Lytechinus pictus: one gene and its partners. The protein of the gene in region 2 interacts with the protein of the main gene of each other region in a biochemical or structural test. Links are inferred from orthologs where the notes say so. Each region holds a gene or a part of one and is shown on either strand. Other genes may lie near its edges.

Evidence for each region. The genes of interacting proteins can lie anywhere in the genome.
Region 1: the proteins of transcription factor Jun-like (region 2) and peptidyl-prolyl cis-trans isomerase NIMA-interacting 1-like form a complex in vitro, tested with the Homo sapiens proteins (2 studies listed by BioGRID). The link is inferred for Lytechinus pictus from reciprocal best matches to the Homo sapiens genes JUN and PIN1.
Region 3: the proteins of transcription factor Jun-like (region 2) and F-box/WD repeat-containing protein 7-like form a complex in vitro, tested with the Homo sapiens proteins (3 studies listed by BioGRID, with this or other methods). The link is inferred for Lytechinus pictus from reciprocal best matches to the Homo sapiens genes JUN and FBXW7.
Region 4: the proteins of transcription factor Jun-like (region 2) and cyclic AMP-dependent transcription factor ATF-7-like form a complex in vitro, tested with the Homo sapiens proteins (4 studies listed by BioGRID and IntAct, with this or other methods). The link is inferred for Lytechinus pictus from reciprocal best matches to the Homo sapiens genes JUN and ATF2.

What each region holds. Positions count from the first base shown.
Region 1 is NC_087259.1:1,859,533-1,867,405, reverse strand, and holds the start of peptidyl-prolyl cis-trans isomerase NIMA-interacting 1-like, read left to right. Parts: upstream 1-4,858; coding exon 4,859-4,967; intron 4,968-7,261; coding exon 7,262-7,444; intron 7,445-7,873. UniProt on the Homo sapiens protein: Peptidyl-prolyl cis/trans isomerase (PPIase) that binds to and isomerizes specific phosphorylated Ser/Thr-Pro (pSer/Thr-Pro) motifs.
Region 2 is NC_087255.1:21,057,265-21,064,315, reverse strand, and holds the start of transcription factor Jun-like, read left to right. Parts: upstream 1-4,047; 5' UTR 4,048-4,343; coding exon 4,344-5,279; 3' UTR 5,280-7,051. UniProt on the Homo sapiens protein: Transcription factor that recognizes and binds to the AP-1 consensus motif 5'-TGA[GC]TCA-3'.
Region 3 is NC_087249.1:44,557,752-44,564,669, reverse strand, and holds the start of F-box/WD repeat-containing protein 7-like, read left to right. Parts: upstream 1-3,903; 5' UTR 3,904-4,195; intron 4,196-5,682; 5' UTR 5,683-5,710; coding exon 5,711-5,809; intron 5,810-6,788; coding exon 6,789-6,918. UniProt on the Homo sapiens protein: Substrate recognition component of a SCF (SKP1-CUL1-F-box protein) E3 ubiquitin-protein ligase complex which mediates the ubiquitination and subsequent proteasomal degradation of target proteins.
Region 4 is NC_087247.1:50,736,473-50,744,158, reverse strand, and holds the start of cyclic AMP-dependent transcription factor ATF-7-like, read left to right. Parts: upstream 1-4,671; 5' UTR 4,672-4,908; coding exon 4,909-4,976; intron 4,977-7,686. UniProt on the Homo sapiens protein: Transcriptional activator which regulates the transcription of various genes, including those involved in anti-apoptosis, cell growth, and DNA damage response.

The sequences.
Region 1 (7,873 bases), on a different chromosome or scaffold from region 2:
AGTGAATGGATTTTTGGGAGAGACCAGACCTATGGATATGGGGTAGGCGCTCATTTATCGACGATGGTCATAGTCAATAACAACACTCGTATTGGCCTTCGCAAAATGTGAGCAAATAGCATTCTTTCCTCCTCCTTTTCTCTCTCACTCTCTCTCTGTCGTTGCCTCCTTTTCCGCCATCATATTTAACGAAGAATACATCACTTCTTCACTCGCTGAGCGCAGCTGAGCTGAGAGGATTGCTGCATAAGACTTGTCGAATTCGGCGAAAGTGCTAGAGAAAGGAGAAGCCTACATGTATTTGATTGCATATCGCGGGAAGTTATTTAAAAGCGCGGGCCGTTGAAACTCCAAGATCCGAAAGTGCGCATGCTCGAAATATTGGGCTTGTTGGGCCTCGCTCGAGCAGGAATCGCTCTTCTTGCGATGGTGGAGACGGGGTTTCTTGAATCTCGAGATTAATCGCGAAGAGTGCCGATCGGGCTAAAATCTCGAGATTGAGCAAACTCGGGATGTGCAGCACCGCCTTATGTGACATCATCTCTGAAAATCTTACATTTCTTGGGACTGACCTTCAGTCTGTTCTTAGTAAGTGCTTGAAGTACAAGTTCTAATTGTCGCTTATGGGTATTCTTGTCAGGGCTAAACAAAATGATATCATCATGATGGCTATGCAAAAATTCCTAGAATTTGGTATTGTACTCAAAATATCATCTATCTTAGCTTGAAATATTCCTGGTGATACATTCAATCCTTGAGCTAGTCTCTTGTAATAGTAGTGTTTACAATCAGGGTACTAATGGATAATTCGTTTTTCATTCCCGATTATTGCAGAGCAAAAACGGAAATCAACCTCATGGTTCGGTCTTTGAAAACACAAAAACGAAATCACAACGAGAAAAACCTGTTGTGATTTCGTTTTTGGAGATCAAAAACAGAAGAATGAAATCAGAAATACTTTTGGGCTCTTTCTGATTTCTCATTCTATACTTGTGTTTGTTACATATCAAAAACAAAATCAGCACACGCTTTCCGCTCCGTGATTCTGTTTGGAAAAACGCAGACAGCGAAAACGAAATCGGAAACTCACTTTCCACTTCCTGCTCTGTGAAGGTCCGAAAACGCTGGAAAAAAGCCATGTTAACGTGAATTTTTGTTGCACGTGGTCGTAACATGCATGCGCTGTACTGCGTGCACGTGTGTATAACGATCGGAAACGTAGAGAGCGCTCTTTAATATACATGAAAGAAAGGACAACTCGGCTCAGAGACGAGCGGAAACCGTATTTCGATACGGCTGCTAGCTGTGCAAAAAACAAAATCACAGAGCAGGAAGTGGAAAGCGAGTTTCCGATTTCTTTTTCGCTGTCTGCGTTTTTCCAAACAGAATCACGGAGCGGAAAGCGTGTTCTGATTTTGTTTTTTATATATAACAAACACAAGTATAGAATGAGAAATCAGAAAGAGCCCAAAAGTATTTCTGATTTCATTCTTCTGTTTTGATCTCCAAAAACGAAATCACAACAGGTTTTTCTCGTCGTGATTTCGTTTTTTGTGTTTTCAAAGACCGAACCATGAGGTTGATTTCCGTTTTCGCTCTGCGATGATCGGGAATGAAAAACGAATTATCCATTAGTACCCTGATTGTATTCCCTGTAATGTAATGTCGCAACCATTTAGAACCATCTCTGATTGGATAGAGAGGATATGACGAATCACATGTTCAGCCAATCATCATCTTACGTCGCTGTACTAACACCAGATTACAGAGCTCGTGATGCGCATTGCAGTGGTTCACCATTTCGACGTTTGGCTTCATCGAGTGAACATTGCCCGGAACATTGTGTAGGTGTCCAGTCAATAATCATTGATTAACATCATAATCAGATAGATCATAGAGAAATATTTCTGGTTTTGTTGTGAAATAAAGATACAGCTATGGAGAGCCTGTAATAATCATCTTCGGAGCACCAGTGCGGAAGAGTTATGTTCAATCATACATCTTTCTTTTCACCCTTCAAAAATATACGAAAAAAGACGTGATTTGTGGGAGTTTCGTTTGATCGCAACGCTTTCTGCGATCGTTCCATACTTTCATCTTTGTGATGATCAGATGTGCAATGATTCCTCAACCACATTGATTTACAGTGTGGGAACTTCCGGGGGAACTTATTCGATGTCACTTTGAAACATGCGGTTAGTTTTCCTGCTTTAGAATTTAGATTTAAAAATATATTTCTGTATATTCTTGGTTGCGTTTGAATAATCATGGACAAGTTAAGGTGGATGGAATGTTGGTACGTCTCTACATGATGGATTGATGATCAACTCAATTTCGAACATGTGAGTAGAAACTGCTTGTGTATAATTTTGATTAAAACTTATGATCTCTTCACAACATAAAATAGCGGTAGAATGTCATAGATTTCTGCTATGTACACACAGTAAATCGCGTGTTGTATTTTATTTTCTATTGTTTCTTGTGAGCGAAGTTATTATTTGCTTTACTGTTTATGTTTTTTTACCTTTTAATTATTGCACTTGTTGTAGTGCCTAGCACTATTAGCCATAGAACTAGATAAATAATCTGAAAATTGTAATTATACAATCATCATGAGAAGGACCTATTATTATACACTACTCAAAAAAAGTTAAGGACCACTTTTTAAAACGTACATAAAGATTTTATACAAGGTGTTTTATTTCTGGAAATACCTCAGTACAACTGTCCTAAATGCCCTTAAACACGCTGTAATCAATTTCACGCATGGGTGGTTTCAGTTGTTGCACAATGTCTCTCGCATCACTGCACATCCTGAAAAGTGGGCCCCGAGGGGTATCAGCTACCGACATGAAGTGGTAAAAACGAATGTCTGAGTGTCTTTCAGGCAGTTCAGTAACGAGTGTGACCACCTCCTGCAGCAATAACGGCTTCACAGCGCTGTCTCATGGAGCTGATGAGGCGATTGATGTCTCTGACGTCCAGTGCATCCCATGCAGCCTCCAGAGCCACACCCAGCTGCTGCAGTCCAAGTGGATGGGCTTCGAGCTGCTCGAGACTCCTCCCCATCATGTCCCAGACGTGCTCTATCGGGTTTAAGTCCGGGGACCTCGCTGGCCACTCCATACGCTCAATCCCCTGGCCCTCAAGGAACTCGGTCACCACCCTAGCTCGGTGGGCACGGGCATTGTCATCCATGAAAATGATGTTTTGTCCCACATTTTCTGCAAATGGCACCACTATAGGTTCAAGGACCTCATCCCTGTACCTCACTCCTGTCATTGCTCCCCCTGGGACCACGTAGAGACGAGTACGGTTGGCGTAGGTGATGCCTCCCCACACCATGACGCTGCCTCCCCCATAACGGTCATGTTCTGCAATACAGGGGTCTGCAAATCTCTCTCCTGGTCGCCTCCAGACTCTCGAACGTCCATCATTGTGGTCAAGGGAAAATCTGCTCTCATCTGTGAACAGAACTCTACGCCATTGCTGTCTGGTCCATCTGACATGCTCCCGGGCCCAGTTGAGACGAATTCTTCTGTGAGCAGGGGTGAGTGGGACACACTGAGCTGGCCGTCTGGCATGCATATTGGCTCTGTGAAGTCGGTTACGGATTGTTTGAGTGGAAACAATCACTCCAGTTGCTGCAGCGAAGTCATTGTTGAGGCGGCGTGTACTGTGAAAGCGGTTGCGGAGGCTGAGATTCGTCAAGTAGCGATCATCTCTAGGGGTTGTCGAAACTGGTCGGCCACTGCGGGGTCTCTCGGAGTATAGCCCTGTCTCTCGGTGTCTTTGATTTGCTCTGCTAAGTATCTATGTATTCAAGTTTTCCTGTAGGCATAAGCCCGTATCCGCGTATCAAAGTTTCTAATTGTATCCACGTATCCAACTATCCAAAAGTATCCACGTATCCGCGAATCCAAGTATCCAAGTATCCAATAGTATCCATGTATCCAAGTATCCATGTATCCAAGTATCCAAGTATCCAATAGTATCCAAGAATCCACGTATCCGCGTATCTATGTATCCAAGTATGCAATAGTATCCAAGTATCCACGTATCCGCGTATCCATGTATCCAAGTATCCAAGTATGCAATAGTATCCAAGTATCCGCGTATCCATGTATCCAAGTATCCAATAGTATCCAAGTATCCAAGTATCCAATAGTATCCATGTATCCAAGTATCCATGTATCCAAGCATCCAAGTATCCAATAGTATCCAAGTATCCACGTATCCACGTAATTCGCGTATCCATGTATCCAAGTATCCAAGTATGCAATAGTATCCAAGTATCCACGTATCCGCGTATCCATGTATCCAAGTATCCAATAGTATCCAAGTATCCAATAGTATCCGAGTATCCCCGTATCCATGTTTCTAAGTATCCATATCCAAACATGTATGTAATATAATAGTATCCAAGTATCTTTGTATACATGTATCCATGTATACATATCAACGACTATCATTCCTTAAATAACATTTAAACATAATCAACATAAATATATACCAATGCACATATCCTCGATCACGCGCCCCCTCTTTCATTCCTTCATATATCTTCCCTTAAAAACTCCTCTGATTATCATATCACCTGACATTACTTCACCCCTCCTTCTACATCAACCATATTGGACAAGTCGTGTACCCCCCTACGGGACCATCCCCCTCCCCCTCTCATCCTTTATCCATTTTCCGATCTATCTCCTGCTTGACGCCGGGGCCTCTTCATTAGCTCACGAACGTAGAGGGCGACAAAACTACTATCACCAAGCCTCTGGCTTACTGGCTATCGCACACCGGCAGCAGCAAAGCAGCGATTAGGAGGTAAATTGGTCTCATAATCGATTATAACATGACATTGGATTCTAAAGTTACTCCCTCGTTGTGTACAAAGTCAATGCCAAAATGGGAATGGAAAGATGTCACCACCGCTGACGAAATAAACGGCAGTGAATGGACTGGTGACATAAACCACGATAATGCCAGAGAGTTTAACTTGCCAGTCTTTCCCCCCGAACCAAACGTTGATCTTCCTTCCGTTGTTGCTGTAATTAGGTGGTCTGTCCATGCTGTCTCTGACGGATCACCTCTTAATTTCGTCAATTTTCTTTATTTATTTTTCGCACCTATGTTTGTCGCCAACTTTTTTCCGAATCGGCTATATCAATTTTGCTGAATTTTTCGTCATATATAATGTCTATCATAGAGACGCTCTACTAAGCTTTTCAAGGTCATCTGGTCATGATGACGTCATCTACGTGCCATTTTGTAAATTCTTAATTTGATAATATGTACATAACGGACAATCAATAGTCAATCATATTTACGTCATCAAATAAACTTTAGGTCGAAGGTCATCAGTCAATGCCATCAAAGGTCATGACGCGCGCGTCAAAATTGAAAAATGCTCAAAATGGCCTATAATTAATTTTGGGTACGTTTCATTAATTTTTGGGTACTATTCTGTGTATTTTGAGGGAAAATACGTTTTCCGTTTGAAATGCCACTTTCCGTTTCAAAAGGCCCTTTCCGTGAATTCCGTCCGTTTTCCGCGATCGCGGAAAATCACTGTCCCTACATGTGCACATATATGTGCGCGCGCAAATTTTTAAGCATTTCAAATTTGCGCGCGCGCATATATGTGCACACAGGGCTAGTGGCTGAAAATAGGCATTTTTAAGTTTTCATGCTGACCTAGACTGTTTGAGCCTCTGTGAGGAGCCATGGAAACATGTCACATTGATAGATAATCAACTTGGCTGCTAGAAAATGTGAAGATGTTGCTACATTTGTTACTACATTGTTCACTCAAAATATAGAATGAAAATTTGAGGCAAATTCACCTATTGACTTAAAATTCTTTTTACACATGTCTACAGCACAAATCTGGTGCCGTTGCCCACCCTACCCCTGGCATAATATCTATTGAGTCTAAGTTCAATAATAATTCCTGTAAATGCTTAATTATTCAGTATAAAACTATTCACTTTCAAGTAATATACCGGGTATTTCATGATTAAACATTTATAGGCAAATTGAACTATGCAAACAAATTATGAATACAAAAGTCTTTGGTTAAGACTATCCAGTAATACTCACTTGAAGTCGCTTGTTTGTTTCAGTAGATTCTTAGATAAGTAAATATTTATAAAAAAAACATAAAATACATATCAATAAATCTCATATGCTATTCTAATTAATGACTTTGCTCTTGGTGTACAAAAGTGTCATATCAAGATCAGTCTTTAACACTATCTACTTGTATCAAGAAAATCAAGTTATTAAATATTCATCTTTTAGTAATTTATACATGAAATCATAAAATCAAAATGGCAGATTTTCCCGTAAATAGGCAAAATACGGAAAAGGAATGGGTAACTTCGTCCGTCTGACATAGGGCTGCATAAATTCCAAAATATGATAATATTCTCAATTTTAATGTAGCCCACAGGACAAGAAATGTCAAATCATATTCTCAATTCTCTGAAGTCCTTGTAAACGCAATAACTCCAGTTTATACACTCCAGTTTATATCATACACACCAAATTATAGGAGCCTGGGTTAGTCCCAGGCTCCTATAATTTGGTGTGTATGATACTAGGAAGCCTTTTTAATTTGAAGCCAGAAAGCCATTTGATTTTGAGGTCCAAAGGTCAAGGTCACTGTGACATGTTTTCATCTTATCCTTCTGAAGTCCTTGTTTACGCGATAACTTTAGTTGAACTTAACCTAGGCTCATATAATTTGGTGTGTATGATACTAGCATAGATCCTAGCAATTCTATTGATTTTGAGGTCAGAAGGTCAAAGGTCGCCACCTACTTTTCTTGCTTGACCAATAACTTCATTTTCTGCATTACAGACGGGCGTATTATGTGCTTGCCTTAGCGAAACTCTTTTTAGTGTAATCCAAAGACAGTCAAAGTGTATAAACTGGTGATTAGACAAAGTTATGATTGGACCAAATGGTTGTTAGACGAAATTTTGATGGACTAAATGAAGGTAGATGGTGTTGGCAGTAGACGAATTGGCACTTTCCCTCTAGGGCAATATGGTTTTGTAAAATTAATATATAAAACAGCTCAGATGTCTGATACTAGTCATAATGTAGAGCAATGAAAAAGTTAATGATATGCTATGTGCATACTTTATGCATATCAGATCACTTATAACGCAAGAGGTGACAAATTTTACAATGAGGACACAATAGACATGAAATTTGCATTCTTTTTTTTTTCTAACCTCAAACATACAGGTAAACCATACTATTTTAAAGCTGCTACCAAGGAAAGTCAATGGGAGAAACCAGCTGGTCCTCCAGCCAATAAAGTTCGCTGCTCCCATCTCCTAGTCAAACATAGAGATTCTAGAAGACCTGCATCCTGGAGGGATGACAGGATCACTCGCTCAAAGGATGAAGCTCTTCAAATAATAAAAGGCATGTATCCATTCGTTTATCTTTTGGCAGTCTCTCCTCCATGAAATTCCTTTACAACGTTTTATGATTTGGAACCTTAATGAAATTAAATCTATGAACGTAGGATTAGCATGTTATATTTTCTTGTCCAAAGTCACTAATTATGACATTTTCCGTAAACGGAGGCCACCATATTCATCACCACAAAGGGTATATTGCAATCTTGTGTGTACAAGTCATACCATTGGCCTTACAAAGATTGCTTGTGTCAAACATAGATTGAAGGTGCCAATCTTTGTAAGAGACAGAATAGAAATCAGAAAAGATATTTCATAGAGAAATAAGAAATTTATTTCCCATTAGATTGATAACACTGATAAAAAAAGGTTTGAATTTGAATTCATTATCATGAGAAACATGAAATGAATAGAATGCCTAATGATTGTGTAG
Region 2 (7,051 bases):
TATTATCTTACACCTTAAAGGACAAGTCCACCCCAACAAAAAGTTGATTAAAATAAAAAGAGAAAAATCCAACAAGCATGACATTGAAAATTTCATCAAAATCGGATGTAAATCAAGAAAGTTATGACATTTTAAAGTTTCGTTTAATTTCACAAAACAGTTATATGCACATCCTGGTCGTATGCAAATGAGGAGACAGATGACGCCATCCACTCACTATTTCTTTTGTATCTTATTATATGAAATATGAAATATTCTAATTTTCTCCTCATTGTCAAGTGAAACAATGATTATTTCTCCCTGAACACATGGAATTAGCATTGCTTAATACTATGTGGTTCAGTCAAGTTGGTCCTTTTTGTCAAATTTGTAAAAAATGAAATATTGTATGATTCAAACAATAAATAAACAAAAGAAATAGTGAGTGATGGGCATCATCGACTGACTCATTTGCATGTCACTAAGTTGTGCATATCACTGTTTTGTGAAAAATAAGCGAAACTTTAAAATGCCATAACTTTCTTATTTTCCATCCGATTTTGATGAAATTTTCAGTGTTATGCTATTCTGTATTCATTCAAATCAACATTTTTCTGGGGTGGACTTGACCTTTAAATCAATTGTCAATCCATTTTTTTTTCTTGGTAGACAAAATTTGAATAGATGTTATTAATAAAATAAAATACCAAAGAATAAGTTGTGATAACAGTGTAAGCAGTTCTTATGAAATCCATTAGGATAAAAACTCCCTTCTTCCCAGAATGGAAAAAATAGGCACAATGAAATAACAACCCAAAATAGCACTGCACCAATAAACCCTTCATTCACTATTGTCAATAAGTAAGCTGCTTGTCTTACATCTAACAAAATGAATAACAGTACAGATCTATAAATCTAACCACAATTGATTAAACAGTGTTCAAGGCAGACAGAATTTTGCAGCAAACAACTTTCTTTTTTCAAAGTGTTGAAGAAACCGGATGAAAAACATGTCTAGTACGGTGTAAACAGGCATGAGCAATAGCTGAAGAACAATGTAGTCTTAACCTTTAGAAACAAGGACAACTAGAGATTTGAAGCCCATCTTAAAGGAAGTAAGCACAGGTGTTGTTTGGATTTACTACAGACCAAAACAGCATTACAATTGGTTTGTGTAGATCTGCTTGCCACATACCATTAAAGTGACATCTTTAATCTTCATTTAAACCCACTCCATAGTACTGGATATTCGCTTCAGTGTACTCAAGACACCAAAATGGCAGTATCCGGTGGTCAACCCTAGTTTTATTGTACCCTAAAAAATGATTTAAGGTCTATGGCATTTTTTTATCATCTATAAATAGAACACAGATATGACATACTGTACGGACCTTGTTACTTCCAAAAGCTAAATCTTACATCATAGTCTAAGACTAAGTTAGAGATAAAGTTGAAAAGATTTAGTTCAAACTTGTTTTATTTTAGTATTTGGACTAGAAATTAGGCTAGATCTAGGTCTTAGACAGGAATAGAAGTCTGCTATCATTTCTGGGGATTTTTTATTCAACTAGACTTTAGAGTTAATAAACTTTAATTAATTTATCAACAATCCCTAGAAAACAGTATACTTATATCTTATCATATCATACCTTATTGTTACTTTAGTGTAGGGTCTAATGTTAGGCCAGGGCCAAGCCCTAGCCAGGTCATGTCTAAAGGCCACCGCACACCTTACGACCCGACTGGTCTGCGACTGGCTTGCGACTGAGTGAGGGGAGATGTGATGTCACAGCTCTTGTCAGCTTGATAGTTGCAGACCGGTCAGAGACAAGTCGCAAGGATAATCGGAAGGATTTGACATGCCGAATCCTTACGACTGGATCGCAAGCTCAATCCAACTTCCAGCCAATCAGACAGCAGAGTTGCACGACGCGTATATGATATACAACGCGCATATGCAGTAGTAAGCGCATTTTCTTAGTTGCTATGGCAAAAAGCGCATGCGTGAGTCGCAGACAGCATGGTAGTCGGCTTGGTAGTTGGATCGGATCGCAAGGTGTGCGGTGTCGAGGCTTATGGCTACCTTGCGATTCATATCCCCTCACTCAGTCGCAAGCCAGTCGCAGACCAATCGGGTCGTAAGGTGTGCGGTGGCCTTAATAAATAAGGTTAGGCTTAAACTAGGCCAAACTTAGTCTAAATTCTAGACCAATAGCTTTGCCGTTTTGAGTCTCTGTTCGTCAGTGTTGCACTTGGCTATGTCTTGTTTCACCGTCTCCTCCAATTTCATCAGTCCATGTGTAGACTGACACTGCCACCGTCACTCACTCAAACGGAGGAGAAATTTCAAAATGTAAAAAAATGCTTTATATGTTTAAAACTCCACCAGACAGATTTCAGCTCTCTAGATCTAGACCACAAGCTTCGGTCTCTGAGTTCCACTAGTTGGCTCCACTCACCAATTAGATCTAGATCTAGTACAAGTTTTTTTTTTAAATCCTTGAAACAGATGGCTGTCTAGCCTATCGTTAGGTCTAGATCTAGGCAGAAGGGCTAGGCTATGATGGCACTAGATTTGTGCTGTAGACATGTGTATAAAAAAAGTCAATGGGTTAGTTGGCCTCAAATTTTCTTTCTATATTTTGAGTGAACAATGTATCGACATCTTAACATTTTCTGGCAGCCAAGTTCATTATCTATCAATGTGACACGTTTCACAGCTCCTCACAGAGGTTCAAACAGTCTAGGTCAACATAAAGACTTTAAAATGCCTATTTTTAGCCACTATCCCACACAGTATAGCTTATAGGAATGGATCATTATGCTACATGCATTTCCAGGCACATATTTTTATTGAGTATTTAAGCCTTGTTTTTCACTATTTAGGAAATTTTGAGGTAAGTTTTGAGCAATGTCTCTGATAATAATGCTAATAATAATATTACGGTAGGCCTAGACTCTTAAATCTAGCCACTAATGCTTTTTAGTAGAAATGCTGTTTCTTTTTTTTGTTCTACCTACCTGGGCTAGGTTATTATTTTTTTTTATTTAGGCCTAACGTTAGATCTATAGGTTACAAAACTTTATTTTCAATCATGCATGGCCATGGGTAAAAAAAAAAAATTTAGACCCTATTTTTATTTGCATTTATCTTTGAATCGTCCCAAAAGACAGTCACTGCCTCTAAAAACTTTTAAGCCTAGGTCTAACGTTAGATCTTCATTTGGGCAAATGAAACAGGAGAGACATGTACATCGAGATTTATACTAGATAGGCCTAGACTGCATAAATAATGGGAAAATCCATGTCCATGACATGTCCATGAATGTGACCATGCCATGGCATGCCCACCACCTCAACGTGTTCGAAATAGCATTGCAGTTGCACGTGTTTTAACTAAGAGTAAGATTTTATGAACTAAAACTTTAAAGTAAAAGTGAGTTAGGCCGAGCAATGCCAATGCCAACACTAACTGAAACAGCAAATACTATTACTAGCACAAACATCCACTTATTTCCATCTTGAAACGTTAGTGATAACTTAAGAGTAACTTACAAGCAACATACAAAATTTAGTCTCACCTTTTTACCACCTGATTGATCTCGTTCACTTCCACAACAATACCATATAAGGAAAAAGGGGTTGTTACTTGTGACGTAGCGAAATCAAGGTTTATGCATGTTTTGTTATGGAAATGAAGGACCTCTTCCGGCGAGGTTGGTTCTATTACCCGGAAAAAGATTGTGACGTGTAATTGGATGCGTCCACATCGTTACGGGTAAACTCAAACTAAAAACAATAGAATATCACCATTTAGATAATATTTCATCTAAAGTTCTTCGAGATAAAAGGTATCAAAATAAGAAGATATATTATTCAATAACCAAAACTGAATAGGAATTATATTTGTCTCTTTAATTTATAACGTGATTATATCATGATACGCTTGATATGTACACTGGAATATATCATCCCTACTATAAAAGTGGAGTCGTCGAAGGGGTTACCGTTTACTTCCAGAGCACTGCACGTGCTTTGATTGACATTTGGGATCGACCAATCAGATCGCAAGATGACATTGCCAAACACACGTCTTACATCATCGCCGACCAATCGTTATTCGAGAATCTGATGTCACTGCTCTTCCGTCTATTTTGGGAATCCTTAGTCAGTGTATATATAGTGAGTCAGCGTTGGTATCGGAAATTCATGCTACGATCATTTCATTTTGCACTGTGAAGAGACAGAGAATTCTCTCAATCCTTTACCTGGCCAACTACAGGATCTCCCTCTTTGCCACATCAATTCGAGACCTGTGACTCAGACTTGTAGCTCATAGCAAGAGAAAGCTCATAACTGTTTGTATGTCAGCCGAAAACGGTCGCAAAAAGATGGAGACTCAGTTCTACGAAGATGCACATAACCCGTGGCTGAGCAAGAAGAAATGCATGACTCTGGATTTGGACACGGGCAAGCGCAAACTTACGGCTGCTGTGCTGTCGACTCCAGACGTTCAGATGCTCAAACTCGCTTCTCCTGAACTCGAAAAAATGATTATTTCTCAGCAAGGCAATATTTGTACTACACCAACGCCTACTCAATTTATCTGCCCGAAAAACGTTACCGAAGAGCAAGCCGCCTTCGCCCAGGGTTTCGTCGAGGCGCTCCAGAGCCTTCACCAACGGAATGATTCGGGGGACTCCGAGTCCGTGGTGAGCGATGATGAATCGTCGGTTGACCAGCTGGACCTAAGTGATCCAATAACAACCTACCAGCAGCAGCAGGTCCTCAACCCCCTTACCACCATCTCTAGTATGACCACAGCTGCGACATCGATTTACAACCCTGCAATGCCTACGACGACTACACTGCCTGGATCAACCGTTAGCCTTTCATCTCGTAATTCTATGCCCACTGACTCTACAGCCATCACATGCGGATGGCAGACGAGTGTTGAACGTATCAAACAAGAACCTGCGTGCGAAGAGCCCCAGACCGTCCCGGTGTACCACGCCACCACTAACCCACCCATGTCCCCCATCGATATGGAAACACAAGAACGCATCAAGGCTGAGAGGAAAAGGCTCAGGAATCGAATTGCCGCCAGTAAATGTCGTAAGCGCAAGCTTGAGCGAATTGCCAGGCTAGAGGATAAAGTGAAGGACCTGAAAACGCAAAATACAGACTTGTCGACTACAGCAACCAAGCTTCGTGAACAAGTTTGTGCTTTGAAACAGAGTGTGATGGAACACGTAAAGAGTGGATGTCAAGTTATGTTGGCACAACAACTGGCTTTTTAATCTGGAATAATTGCAGATGATTTTGAAACACTGACATTCATAACTGAAAATAGTGATCTACAGACTATTGACTTTCGAGGCCTGCGAAACAAACATTACTGTGGATGTGGACTTTGTATTTGCATTCATATTCTTTGAGATCTTAAAATTGACCTAGAAGACATGTATAGACCTATGTAATCTATTTTACTGTGCTGGTTTGCAGTTCCCAATATTATAGTGCTGATACAAAATTACTTTCATTCAGTAGTTCCGACCTGGTTATATCCAAAATTACCAGAAATTTGGGGCAGGATCCCCAGTATTCCTATTTCTGATTTTCAAATATCTCAAGTCCATGATGTTCGTTGTATGGAATTGATAATCTTCTGCATTTATCAATCTCTGTGTAGGTACACTGTACATGTCTAAAAATGCAGAGCAAATTGAGAATTTGTTTATTCCGCCCAGTAAGACGATTTGATAAACCCATCAAACCTAGTAACCTAATGACAATTTGTCTTTTAGCTTGCCCAGTAATTTTGAGTCAGTACTTTGGTAACAGTCATTTGGTGTAAACTCACTTATAATGCCCAAATTTTAATTGTACTTGTCCATGCTTAGTCTTTTGAAGTCCAGTGTAGTAGGATGGTCCTTTATTCAAAAGAAAAAAGGGAAGGAAAGTCAAATAATTTTTTGTGAGAAAATTTTTGAAGGAAACTGCGAGGAATTTATAAAGTTGTACATTGAAATGGTTTATGATGTGAATATTCGTATGAAAATTTTTTGTCTTTCAAAGAAGCATACTGGTTTTGAGAAGTTATTTCGAACAGAATGTATGGTCTTGTGTTATGAATTTCTTGTTTTTCCTCAGATTTTATTTTTTACCAATTGTACATTTGACGAAAGCATTGTGTGCAAGGAAATAATCAGCTTTCTTTATTTTTTGCTTGTAATGACCACTGACCATCAGAAATGGCTGCAAATGCAATGTAGCTCATCTGTGTTATCAATTTAATCTTGCAACAATTTCAACAGCTCACACCATTGGGAGGCCAAATAAAATATTTTGCGACTTGTTTGCACATTACTGCACCAAAGCTTTTAGACTCTTAACTTACAGTAAAAGTTACGCATTTTGATCTACGACACCTGTGGACACCTGTGGTCGGTGTTTTGTTTATTTTTTTGTATTTACCAATGCCGCCATTCTTGCAATACAACTTCAGACAGATAACATTTTGCCTGATGAGTCTATGACATAGGCATAAACAGAAAGGTTGTGATTCATTAATATAAGCAATCCATGTATGAAGGCGAAATATGAAACACTGCTGAAGAATAATCTGTTATTTAATTAAATCATACATGAGTTTCTTTTGACCCATTATTCACATGCTAGATTCTGGAACAACGTTTTCTTTAAAAAAATAACTCTGTTGTATTCTCCACGTGTTGCACAGAATTTGACGTTACAAATTTTTGTATCTTTGCTGGAATATGTTCCAATAAAATGTACTTGCAATAATAGGTTTTCATGTTTTTAACCATTTAAAGTCATGTGAATATTGTGTTCATTTGAAAGCTGGGTAATATTTTCAATTCTTCATTGTATGATACCTACATGTATCTGAATGAATTAGATCTTTTCTTCCAAATCAATTTTGTGTTTTTTCTATAAAGATGCATCAACTAATACATGTGCATTAGTTATGCATTTTACCTTTATTGCCATTATTTCGTTTTTATGAAGTTTGTCATGCAATGTATTGTAAAAACAAAATTATTGAAAG
Region 3 (6,918 bases), on a different chromosome or scaffold from region 2:
AAAAAGTTTACAATTTGAAAAAGCCCTGGGAATTAAAAAATATACAACATGTGGGTAATTTTTTTCACATATAATCTTGGATTTGGGTCTCACTTATCCAATGAAAGTAAAAGTTTTGTCAGAATGTTACACTTGAGTGAGCACTGTCCATTTTTGTAAAGCTCGCAGAAATCTGTTTGCGCAGAAATGCTCGTTTTCACGCTGTGTTAAGGGGAAACGGCGAAATCAAACTTACCCTGCGAAACATTTCTCATACATTTCCCTTGCACTTTTAGTCAGTTGAAATAAGACGGATACATTCAAGCATTTTGTAACAATTTTGCCACCCAAATCGAAATTTCAGCACTTAGTAAGCACAACCTTTACCCTTTTTGTGCCAGCTGGATCTGAGGACATAACTGAATCTGAACAAAAGTTTAAATCAGACATCTCCAGCATTATTTCACTCAGTTTTTATCATTGAAAGTGGGTTTACATTTCATTTCTCATTTAATACATGTTTCTCCACATTTTTCCCAAGCTTGGTAATGATTAACAAAATGAAAATCAAGCTTAAGCCATTCCATGTAAATCACAGCTCAGTGTAAAGCAAATATCGTCACGATGGCCTCGGTGTGTGGGGGAGAGGAGTGGGGTGTAATGCTCTCTTCGAAGTGTTTTGGGCAAGGAAACAAGTCAAAAAAGGTAAAAATATCTTCAAATCAATTTTAATAGCTAAACTCTACGTGTTCTTCATGATTAAGGTCTACTTTTATTCGCATAACTATTTCAAAGTTCTGCGCAAATCATTTTTCACTAACTTTTCAAAAGTAAGTGGTGCTCACTCAAGCGGAAATATTTTTCGACAGTTATATCGTCATTTGATTAAATGGACCTGTACCATAGTTAAAATGTGGAAAAGAGTTCAGGATATTACAAATGTATAATTTTACAGGATTTTTTCAAAGTGTAAATTTTTTTTGATACGCACTGTAGAATACGATTAATAGGATGTGCCTATACGATCACCCTACGGGCGCACTGCGACGATCGTAGACCAAACGTTTTTTTTCTCTCTCTCTTTCCTTTCCTTCTATATTTATGTTAATGATTTGGTATTATTCATTATTTTAAAATGTTATGTATAATGAGGAATAAATAAAATATGATTTTAAAACAAAATTCGTAAACGTTGAATAAGATTAAGAAGTGATAGTGAACCATAATATTGTAATTGCTGCTTAGTGGTGGTGCATATGGTGAAGATGTGTGTATCAAGGGGATGATAGTTTAAAGGGATGGTTCAGGCTGAAATTATTTACATCTAAATAAATAGAGTAAAATTCACATAGCAAAATGCTGAAAATTTTATCAAAATCCGATAACAAATAACAACGTCATTGAGTTTTAAAGTTTATCAATATTTTGTGGAAACAGTTTTATGCACATGTCATGAATATTCATTAGGTGGGCTGATGATTTCACATCCCCACTTTCCCTTTTCTTATGTTTTACATGAAATCATAAATTTTACATTATTTCATACATGTGTAAATGATGTGTCTCCATTATGATGAAATAAGCTGTTGCGGCAAGAATAACTAATGCACTAAATCAGTTGTCAATCCAAGGTTTTAGTTCTTGGTAGAAAAATATTATTGTGAATAAACCTTATTTCATAGAATAAAATACAAAAGAAAAAGTTGGGAAATTACATAATCAGCCCACCTAATGAATATTCACAAAGACATGGCTAGAACTGCATGTATCACCGAAATAATGCAAATCTTTAAAATTCAATAACTTCGTTATTTGTTATCTGATTTCGATCAAATTTTCAGCATTTTGCTTTGTGAATTTTACTCTATTTATTGAGATATAAATATTTCCAGCCTGAACCATCCCTTTAAAAGAAGAAATCATGTTTCTACAATGCTGCATGCAGCCAAACCCTTTTTTTAATACATGTAATGTAATTTCTTTAGAAAATTACATCAAAATAAATTTATTTTCATCACCCCGAAAAAAAATCATGATAACAGCATAACTTCGCTGAGAGTAAAAAATAAAATAAAATAAATATAAGAACACAACCAGAGTATCATATAAGTGAAATTTCGATCAACTTCACCATCGCCGCAACTCGCACTGATAATCCGATACTTTTAATCAGAAAAAGCTTAATTTGGAGCCGCCGAAAGCCGTTCAACATAAAGTTTCAAGATTGGCCAACGAAACAATGAATCTACGGATTTTAAATATACTAAAAAACACTCCATCACCACTATTTTAGTGATGTTAAGGATCTCACAGAGAATAAAGAATAAATGAGTTTTGTGAAAGCTATATTTTTTATATGGACATTTGCAAAGGTGATAAACAATATGATACGACCAAGCCCTGCCACTATTCAGGATTGGTCTAAAATTTTATTGGCAAATTTCGTCACCAAACACGTCTGTTGGGAGAATAAACGTACATGAAAGAAGGAAGCCAGGGAGGGGGAGAGACAAAGAGAGAGGGGGAGCCATGAACTAAGAAGAGTAAGGAAGGCTAAAATGGGGAGAAAAAAGGTGAAAGAGAAAACAAATTAGATTGTCTCTTTTCCGTTTTCTTTCTACATTTCTATTTCCCTTCCTCCTTCTTCTACACTCTAAAAATGAAGTGCTAATTTATCACTTATTTGTCCTTGTATAATGACTGCACTTTGAGTGCTCATTCAAATTTGAACTAGGAAAAGATCAGCACTCAAAGTGCAGTCACTATACAAGGACATTAAGTGCTAAATTAGCACTTCACTTTTTAGAGTGCATTCTTCTATTTTCACTTTCATATCTTCATGATCTTTTGCCACATTTCTGGTGGTCCCTCATTGAGAGAGGGGGAGGGGGCGCTGCGCTACCCCCCACTCGTTGATGCCCACGGAGACTTCTCGCATAGGCCCACGTGTAATCCATCTTCTCTTTTTGCATGTACGTGCTGTTTAAATAATTTCTTTTTTTATTGTAGACCCCCTATTTCATTTGATTAATGACGAAAGTTACGGTGTATAATTTCACCTTTATAACTTATACTTCAGTGAAGTTGGCTAAGGCATAATTGTGGATGTCATTCAAGTTTCAAACTCTGAAAATCCCCTCAAATTTGATAGATGGGCGGAGGAGGGGGGGGGGGTTGAAATCTCATGATATGGAAGTCATAGCTGATATATATAAAGGAGCACAAAGTTTTCCAACATGCGACCAAAAACTCTCTCTGATGCTACCAAGAGATGGTTAACTGCCGATTCGTCTTTTGCCAACTCGTCTACTCATCACATGGTCAACCTTCATTTAGTCTAAAAAAACTGTCATTCCGTCCATCATCAACATTTCGTCTATCAGTGATCGACAATTAATAACCATTTGGTCCAATAATCACTTCGTCTAATCACCAGTTCATCCCTGACCATATTTCGTTTAATAAGCAGTTGGTCTAATATCCATTTTCTTTTATTCATTTCGCCCAATAACACTTATCCAATTAGACCAAATGGTTTATGGACTAAAGGGCTATTGGAACAACTGGTTAATTATACGAAATGGTGAGTGGACAATATGGCAATGAGACTATGCGCATAGATCAATGGTAGTATAGACGCGACGATGAGTCGAATTGAAATAACCCAAACTTGGGGTCTATTTCAATCGTATCCCCAAGAGATTGACACGAAAAGTTTTTTATGAAATCCGAGCAAAAAATAAGATGTAAATTTACTTTCTTATCAAATTTTTTATTTTCTCATATATCATTTCATTATTATGATCAGTCAAATATTATTATCATTATTATTATTATCAATTCAGTATACATGTCGTTCATCAGTTTCATATCAGAGATAAGAAATTTTTGGAGATCGCTATTATAAAGGATCCTTAAATTGGCAACGTAATGTAAGATGGATTAATTGCGTTCAATGATACTATCAGCTCCTCCGTACACAGAAGAAAATACTACAAAGTAGACCTCATAAAGGAGCAGATATTCTACATTTTGCACCTTTTATTTCATTTTACTACATTTCTACGATCATGATAACATTAATGAGAAGTTGCTTTACGTGAAAATATGAAATTTTCGACCAGGAAATGCTATCCTGTGGTTCCCGAAGGACTTGACGACAGTGCGAAACGCCTTGGGGCCGGCTTTGCAGCCGCACAGCTGCAGCACAGCACAGGTACGGTACCGTACTACCGCATCGCGTACCCGGCGCGGTACGGTTAATGTGTATGCCTACGTGTATGACGTGTGTGATGATTATGCGTGATCAGTCATTCCAAACTTGTGAAGTTTAGATCAAACTGTAAACGCTTTTCAAGTTTTCATGAATCTTATCTTAAAAAATTGCACCAAACTTCTTCATGAAAACCCAGTCATCTTTTGAATTTGATTTTGAGTGCTCTGCATGGCCATGCCCGGCCATGGCCTGGGAGTGGGAGTGCACGTAACAACATGATTTTCCATCAATCACATATTCACAACGCGGCGTTCCAGTTAAACGCGTTAGAGGCCGTTGTCGTTGATCCAAAAATTGGGATTGTCCCTGAAAAAACAAGGATATCCTCATCAACAAAGACAAATCAATCATGTCTTGATAAATTGTCGTTATTTATTACTAATTTGGACAGGTTTTTTTTCCACTTACCCTGGCCCTGCACTCTGCAGCCTGCAAAAAGTGCAAGATATGTAGACTAGTCTTGTAGAGTGTAGACAGCGACTAAGGGAATAGAGTGCTAAAATTAATTTAAAAAATAGATGAAGTGACTTTAGTTCCCCCACTTCACCGTCTATTATTCACGTCTTGCCATCTTCCAATAATCTTGTTATGAAATCTGGTAATGTTAACATTGACTAGCGCACTTGTTTAGTTGTCGGCACTTATTTCAGCCAGGTGAATGAACTCTATACTACTTCTTTTGTGGAGAAATCTTTGAAAACTGAAGACAGTCCCTGTAATTACTGTAATACTGGGACGATCCCAATTTTCTGACCAGCGCCTCTACTGCGTTCAGGATCTCTTCGAAAATGTGCACGTCATTAGATTTATTGTGTGCATTCACTTTCACTGTCCATCTGAGGCTGAGCTATCTAACTCGGTCACAAAGACTGAAAGAGCTTACTTTGTTGGCAGTGCTGAGCCAGTTTTGTTGATAGGGTCAAGATATAGGTTTTCCAGACTAGTTGTTGAAGGCCCTATTTGAACAAAAATTAAGAAAAGCAAAAAAAAAAAGAGAATTTCCAGTGGAAATTGTCTAATGAACGGATGTCTTGATCTACGGTACTGTTAGTTAGAAATCATTGATTCTTCAGTCAATTGTCCAGAACTGCTTAGTGCTAGAAGGCTGAAGGTCCAACAAATAATGTACACCCAAGAATCCAAGATTTTTTTTTTCATGATAAGATATAAAAGATTGGCATCCAGTAAAATATCCAAAGTGATTAAGTATGTTGCTGCGAGTGCAAGGTGTTGATGTCATGACAGAGTGAGATACGTTAAGTTCTCGCAAGCTCTGGGTTCACTGAATAATGTGTGAGTTGCATTTATGACTGTAAAGACTGTATGTACATGCTTCTGCTCCTACCATTCCATGTTTTGAATTGGAATGGAACTTGTTATTTCAGTGCATGTTTTTTTTTTGCCCCCGTTATATTTGTGATATTCAGCTGAGAGAAAAGGTAGTCTTCCCGTACCATGGCAAAGGTAGACATCAATTCTGCTGATGTAGATGCCCTGACATCTCTACTCGGTGTGGGGAGGAACAGAGCTGAAGCTATCGTCCAGCATAGAGAGGTATGTATGGTTCACACAAGTTCAAGCTTTGATAATCTATTTTGGTCTGCAGTTTTACAGATTGGGTTGAATTTCCAGGGAGCAATGTTCTACACTCTAATGATAGGATTAGGCCTGAGTCATTACGTTTATTATGAAAAAAAAATATATACCTAGACAGGCAATAAGGGTTAACCAACAATTTTTTTTTGCGGGGGGGACCCTCTTCAAATGTTGCTGAAAATGTACGTTTTGCATCTTTACATTCTTATTACCTTGAAAGTATTGTGATTTCTGTAGAACTTTGGACTACAAAGAAAATTTGTAATCCTTTTTTTTTTCTTAATTCTGAAAGATCAATTTAATTTGATGTTTTGACTTAGTATGTTCTGATGAAATATGTATGATATTGTCTGAAAACTGGTAATCGTACAAACTGTGAGTGTCAAATGGCTTAGGATGCGAAATTAATAGTGCATGATAGCAATCTCATATTTCCTGCTGGGACACCCTCTTCCCCTCCCCTTTCTCCTTCCCAGTTGATCTTTGTAAGACATGTTTCTTTAATATGGTAGTGAAGAGGCAAGAAATGTTAAAGTGGGGCATGATACTGGTGCTTCTCGGTACTTTATTTTGGAGAGTGAGTTGACTTTTAGTGAGAGATCTGTGTTAGAGCTAGTGTTTTGCTCAAAGGAATAGAAGATGGCTTTGGAAAAACACCCTTTGTGTCAGTTGTGTCATATCCAGTGGTGAGTGCTCTTCCGTGTGAGAGTAGTAAAACAGGATTTTTTTCCCCTACTGTCTTTTCGTCTTGTGCTGTGTTTCGTTTTCAAGGAAGTGAGAAAATGAAAAAGCTGGCAATTCTTTATTGATTGCCCCATTGCAATAGTAATTGCAATGTTACTCTTTTGGATATCTCATGAACGATATGTCTGTTTTCTCAAACATTTTGAGAGTAAATTGAGATTAAAATACATGTTTTGTGTTTGTAATATTGCAGGCCTCTGGGGGATTCAACAGCATCCAGGACCTGATCACAGTACCTGGTATCGGGAGCAATGTGGTGGATATGAATAGGAACCGGCTGCAGTGCCGTACGAACCATGATGATAGGACTCAGTCAACACCTT
Region 4 (7,686 bases), on a different chromosome or scaffold from region 2:
TCAATCATAAAAGTTGTCAATAGATACACAGGCTTTTTGGTTTTGTTTTGTGTTGAAATTGTGCTTATTATTTTCATGGATTGTATTGTGGTTGATAATGGGCGTTTTTCATAGAGAGCTAGTGGTTTGAAGCTATGTTAGGATGCTGAGGATAAGATCAGGTTTCACTGCCCATGTTGCATGATGCACTAAATATAGCTGCGTTTTCTTTTCCGAATATTTCTGAATAAAAAACGAGTGTACGATGATCAAAACGAAGAAGATAATTCTCAAATCGGAAAGTACCCGAGAGCAACAAAACCTCTGTACCCGGGGGACGTTGTTTACACTATGAGAAAACCTACTAAAAACGACAACGCCTGAGTATTCATCATGTTCATTGAAAATAAAGAATAATAAATTAGTTGCTATTGGTACCCATTCTTTTGTACGCACAGATATCGCCCGACGATGAAACTTAAACCGGTTTTCTTGGTTTTCTTGGACAATCATGTTTTGCATCTTTGAAAGGAAGTGGCTCCCCCGAACGTATTATGGTACAGGGGTGTAAAAACGTCATCAATCACGTGACATATAATAAAAAACCGTATTTTCTTTGTAATCAGTTTCAACTTTTTTAATTTCAAGTCAGTGATATGTAAGTTAAACCATTAAGTGTTGTATCCATGTATTTCCCCCAAAAAAAGAAAAATGCCAACATAAAAAACGAGCGTTATTTAGTGACGACAAAGATTCTGCTAACGAAAGTTCATGAAATGTTCCGAAAAGCTTAAGATGTGAAGAGCGCCGCACACGGCGTTCCACGAACAGGGCGTCAAGACGCTTGATCCGTTTTTATCAAAGGACCTTGAGAATCCCATATCTGTAGAAGAACTTTATAATGTTGTCAAGCAGCTAAGCAAAAATAAATCTCCTGGTGGGTGTTTCATAAAGCTGTTCGTAAGTTAAGAACGACTGCTGATCCCGTCTTGCGGTAAGCGGTAGGCCTATATTGAATTGGCGATGGTTTAGCGCGTAAGAAAGGATCACCAGTCGTTCTTAAAGTCACTCTTAACTTACGAACAGCTTTATGAAACGGCCGCCTGGTATCGATGGACTTACCTCTGAATTTTATCATGTCTTTTGGCCCATGCTCAAGAATGATTTTCATGAAGTTCTTACCTCCTCTCTTGAATCTGGATTTTTACCATACTCTTTTAGGAGGGCGGTCATTACTTTGTTCCCCAAAACAGGAGACATCGCTGATATTTCAAATTTGCGTCCCGTCTCCCTCCTCAATACAGACTATTAAATTTTTGCTAGGCTGCTTGCCAGTAGGCTAAAATCATGCATTGATCAGGTTATTGGAAGAGACCAAAGTTATTGTATCCCCGGTCGTTCTATTTATAACCACATTAATCTCATTAGAGATATTTTGTTCTATGCTAACATTGATAATATTCATTTGGCTGTATTGAACTTGGACCAGAAAAAGGCATTTGATAATGTAGATCATATCATGTTTATTTATTTAATGTTATGAAACGCATGGGTTTTGGAAGTAAATTTATATCTTATATACGAACTTTGTATGAAGGGGTTGAAAACCTTATTAAAGACAGTGTGTGGATCCCTAACAACTCCCTTCCCCTTAAAGAAAGGAATACGACAGGGATGCCTTTTATCAGGGTTGCTATATTATAATCTCGCCATTGAGCCTCTCATTGAGAGAGCACGTGTCAAATCATGCCTTAAATATTCCTGCTATTAACAAACCATGTGTAGTATCTGCATATGCAGATGATGTATCGATATTTGTCACAGCCGATGCCGGTTTTGAATTAGTTGAACAAACTTACAAACTGTTTAGTCTAGCCTCTGCTTCTTCTTCTCTATAAGTACAGGCCACCGTCTGGCGTATTGTCGTACTGCATGTTTGAATACAAATAAATCGCAAGGCCTTTGGGTCGGCCGTTGGAAAGGGCGGAATGATAAACCCCTTAACTTCTCTTGGAATAGTGAAGGTCTCCCTTTTTTAGGAGTTCATTTAGGGAACACAGTTAATTATTCTAAACAAAACTGGGTTAAGTGTAAAGAAAGACTTAATAAGACTTTCCTATCGTGGTCTCGTTTATCAAACTCACTCTCATTTAAAGGCAAGGTATTGATTGCGAAATGGCAGCTCGCAGCATCAAAAATATTTCATTTTCTTGCAGACCTTTCTCCTACTGAAAATATATTAAACGAACTTCAGAATTTAATTGTTAAATTTGTCTCTACGGTCAAAATATGCGGCACTGGTTAAAGAAAGAAGTGTTGTAAGAAAAACCTGACGAAGGAGGGCTAGGGTTAGCTTAATTGTCTCCAAGCTCGTGTTCTAACTTATAGATTTTCGATTATTCAACGGTTTCTTTCTTTAAATTCTCATCCAGTAAACGACATTATGGCTCATTTTCTTAGACAATATTGCAAACTAGGTTTTGATTACCAATTGTTCTTTACAAGAATTGATCCTAAATTTTACACTAGGCTTTCAGTTTACTATAGTGAAGTTTTGCGAGCTTGGTTGACATCTGGAGCTCGAATTATGACACAATCCCTCTCTTTTAGCCATGCAATAAATTAACATGCCCTTAAATAGTATTTATATTATTGATGCAATTGATGTTGATAATTTTTTTCCGGCGCGCCTGATGGCATGCGGAGTGAAACTAGTTCGCCATTTGATAAACCCCTCAACTGGTCTTTGGATTGAGAGTGGCTGTCTCCAAAAGAACTTTCGAAGATTTCGACAACCATCATCGCGTCTCATGAACGTGAAACATTACTCATACGAACTGCACTCTCTCAAGTTTTCCCTCACTCAGGCTGTCAACGCAAAACTCTGATCTATTAGCTCCAGATACTCCAATCAACTTCACTCTGGCTTCTTCTGAAATGGACTCATTGCTTCTTCTAAAGCTACAGGAAAGAACTTGATAATGTGACGACCTCATCAAGCTCACATTGGCATGATACTGGTTTTCTCGATTCATCTACAAAAGTGAACTGGCTGTATATTTATCAATTACCAACATCTAAAAAAGAGGCTGATATTCAATACAGACTCCTGCACAATATATCAGGGGCCGCAGAAGCGGGGGGGGGGGGGGGCTTCAGCCCCACTTCAAGTTTTCCAAAACCGTGTACAAAAACGAAAAAATGACCATTATGATTGTGATTATTTGTATGGTCAGCCCCCCCCACTTTTGGCTCAGCCCCCCCCCCCCCACTTTGAAAAACCATTCCGCGGCCCCTGTATACTACCGTCGCTAACTATACTTCATCATCTTGATACAGACATTTCGTCTTTTTGCGGATGGTGCGGAGAACCAGGAACCATTCAACATCTGTTTATTGAGTATATAAAGGAATCCAACCCCGTCTCAATCTTCTTCATAGACTTTTGAACAATCTCCTTCCATCTCTTAAACTTAATTTTGACTTATACTGGGCTCTCATTCCGCATGCCAGAGGACGTGACAGAAAGGTTATACGCCTTGCAAATTTTCTTATCATCAGTCTAAAAAGTACCATTTATTCCATGTATCGCACCTGAACTTTCACTGATCCACTAATTGTTTGGCTACATCGTCTAAAAAACAGAATTTTGTATGAATTCTCTTGTTAAAAATTATGCTCCAATATCGATGCCTTCTTACGGAAGTGGTGCATGAATAAATTACCATTAGCGGGGCAGTATTGCATGGCTCATATAACATTTGGTTTTAATTCTGTGTTTGTAATAAACGGTTGAAAAACTGTGCTACCTGATTTCCTTTGAATGCTCATGTCAAACTATTTTTTTATTGCAGGGGCCGCGGAATGGTTTTCAAAGTGGGGAGGGGGGGGGGCTGAGCCAAAAGTGGGGGGGGGGGCTGACCAAAAAAATCACAATCCTATGGTCATTTTTACGATTTTGTACACGATTTTGGAAAAAAGTGAGGGGAGCTAAAGCCCCCCCCCCCCCCCCCCCCCCACTTTCGCGGCCCCTGTATTGTATACTTGACTTTTGTGATTATAATTTGTAAATAAAGTTTTCATTTGAAATGTCAAAAAAGTCTTTCTTTCTTTCTTTATCTCTCTCCCTCTCTCTTTCCCTTTTCTCCTCTGTCCTCCATACATGAATTTTCCGACTGCCATGAATGTTTTTTTTTTTGGGGTGTCACACTCCCCCCACAGCTATGGCACTGACTTTAGATCAGTTCAGTGCTCCTTTCGGGAGCTTACGTATACGTATTTTATCTCTGTACTGTGCATGCAGGCTAGAACCACGAACACCATGGACAGAACTATAAACGATCCATGCGTATACCATGTAACCTCACGGGCACAGCATTGACCATGTAGTCTGTGTTTCAGAAGTTCATAGCATTTTAGAAAAAAAATGAAATCAGTGAATTCGAGGAGCAGTCACTTCATTTTCTCAATAAAAGATACACACACATTGGTTTTTTTCTCATTTGTGATTAATCTATTTGGTATTTCGTATGGAATTTGAATTATGAGAAAACATAAAACAATATTCTGGCACTTGCTGAGGGGCTGAGTCACTGCGATCCAAATAAAGGGGAATTTCATGACGTCATTGCATTAGGAGCGTCGCTCCGGCTCCGTACGTACGTATATCAATGTACATACGGTCTCGTGACCATTACTAACTTCGCCATGTTATGGAAATGGTGGTAGTGGCTGCTACACGTCATTCTCCGAGAATAAAACATCTCGTCATTTTCAACCAACGTGATTCCTCCTCGCTTATAATTCATCAACAGCGGGTAAGTTGGATGGACAACCCATCAACAATAACAGTAGAGTAACAAAATAGTGATTTTGACCTGTGACAAGCAGATGATTATGGGTATTAAATAAATCGTCGCCGGATTCACAATGGTTGTGGGTGATCAACGGAAGGGGAAGTTGACTAGCGATCGAATGCATGGACATAACAGCTTTGTGTATGTATTCCAATTACTAATAGTAGATTTGTAGAGCCAGGTTCAGTCATTCAGTTTTAAAATTAATAAAAGGGCAGACGTAAAATGGCAGAGCCAGATGTAAATTAAAAAGAGGGGAATACCAGGAATGGCTCCCCTCCTGAGTCCTTGCTAATTGCTTACCATTACTTACTTTGTCATTTGATTAATGTGACACTCATTCAATGAACAAGGTTATGAATATGATTATAAGTTACCTTGTTCTCAGTTACATTTCTTAATCTTACATCTTCATGTGTGGCCAAATAAGGTTGGCAATGTTTGGCTTATTTTCACTTTTTCTTTGGGACAAATGCTTAATTTTTTACACTGTCAGTTTCCATTACAGCTATTCATCATATATAACTCACTCATTCAATAAACAAGGTTATGATATAACCTTGTTCTCAGTTACATCTCTATGTGTGGCAAAATAAGGTTGATAATGTTTGGCTTATTTTCTCTTTTTCTTTTGGACAAATGCTTGATTTTTTTACACTGTCAGATTCTATTACAGCTTTTCATTATATAACTTGGCTCTTAAGTAAATTTGATTCTTTAAATTATTTTTTCTTCATTTAAAATAGAGCTTGACAAATGAAAATTTTCTTGCCATATTACTTTCCACCAATAGAGGGCGTACACAAAAATATGCCAAAAATTCAAGTTTTTGAGCGCTCTGGTCAATACAAAAATCATTCTAAGTTACTAATGAAAATTGAATTGCAACTGTATGGAAATTAATAATTTTGGTCACAAAAGTGATATTTTAATGATTTTTTAAAGTGTGTGCTCAAGACAGCATTGGCATACCATAGTCCTACCTGTAGATTCTCCACAGGCAGGATGGTTGCAGTGAACAAGTGATATAACTTGGCTCTTATGTAAATTTGATTCTTTAAATTATTTTTTTCTTAATTAAAAATAGAGATTGAAAAATGAAAATTTTCTTGCCATATTACTTTCCACCAATAGAGGGCGTACACAAAAATATGCCCAAAATTTAGGTTTTTGAGCGCTCTGGTGAATACAAAAATTATTCCCAATTTACTAATGAAAATACTGACGTCACGGAGCCCAGGGATGGAATACCATTGCACTTCACGCACCGCCTATTTTCCAACGCTGCAACTTACTCCAAATCGCACATTTTATTTAGGGTTTTGAGCCCAAACTTATCATTTTATGTAGATCTAGATCTAAAAATAGGCTACAAGTACAATATGAATATCATTATCAGTTTGACCCTTTTGGCCAAAATTGTGGTTTTTTAATACAATTGCACTTAAAATTTTAAATACATGAAAATATTAAAAGTAGAGGAGCGTTTACTCGTAGTCTGTTATTGTCGCCATCTTGCCGTATTTGTTATAGCCTAGCTCATTGGCCACAACGACAAATCGTCCATAGACTGTGTACAAAAGATAGATCGTCTCCGCACAGCGATTCGGAGACCGCTGATTGGTCAATCGCGCAGATCACGTCATGACTACGTGGTCGCCAAAATAATTCCTTTGGACTTCGTGCGGAAGTATCGATAGCGATAACGATATCCGGTCACGTTGTGTACGCGGGAAATGGACTTGGTTCATGATCGGATCGCTCTGGTATCGATCGAAAATTATTGAAACTCTGCAATTTCATTCATATTCACGCGACGCTCCGAAACCCGGAAGCCAATTGACTTTGTGCACGCTTGCGATAGACTCTACAAATTCCAAGGAACACGATGCCATACCGACGCTAATTCGTAAGATTTTGACGGAAAAGCAAGAAGTAATTGAAATTTGCTTACCTGTGCGGTATCGGTGAGAAAATAGATCCTCCGAGAATACCTTTCATAATTCATATAAAATATAAGAAAGTGAAATTCTAGGTCGATTTAGGTACGAGGTGATAGAGAATTGCACACTTGTTTTGGTGGAATACTGTGTGGGGAAATGGAAGGCTTGCACTACGCATGCTTACTATATTTTCATTCATAAATTGGCTCTCGGCAATGGCTGGATGACGTCATGTAATAAGCAAAATGTACACGACCACTAGCGTTGAACGCTCCGCTATCCGTTGTACACAATTTGTCGGTGTGTTGGCCTAGCTACAAGACGCCTATAGAGGGCGACAATATCATGAGCAGTGCTAACTTAGATAAAAAAATACTTGCATCAGCCGATAAATATCATGAATCTTACCTCAATGCTAAATGCTCAATTTAGGAGTGATTGAGGAGGGTGCAAAAGTGCACCCTTTCTCCATAGGCGCTGTAGTTAAGAGGCGGTTGTTTGCTCCACCATTACGAGCCCAATGGCCTACATTGGTCTATTGACGGAGGGGATGCCGCGGAGCCATGCAAAGTCTCAGCGAAGCATATCCCTGAAAGAAATAGACCTACACGTATTTATCAGTCTAACCATAGTCCTACATTCCACACAGGCAGGGTGGTTGCACTTAGCCTTGAGGACTCTGTGATCATATTTTTTATGAAATGATATTGTCATTTGATCACAGAGCCTTGAACCGCCTCCCATAAGAGACACATGTAAACAAAGATGGATTTTCCTAGGAAATCCATCTTTGAAGATAGAAATCACGTAAATTTCTATCATTTTATTCAACTATACACTTTCATACGCCTAATGCGTATGAAGGTGCAAAAAGTATGTTAATAAGAAGGTTAAAAATTAGAGGTTTC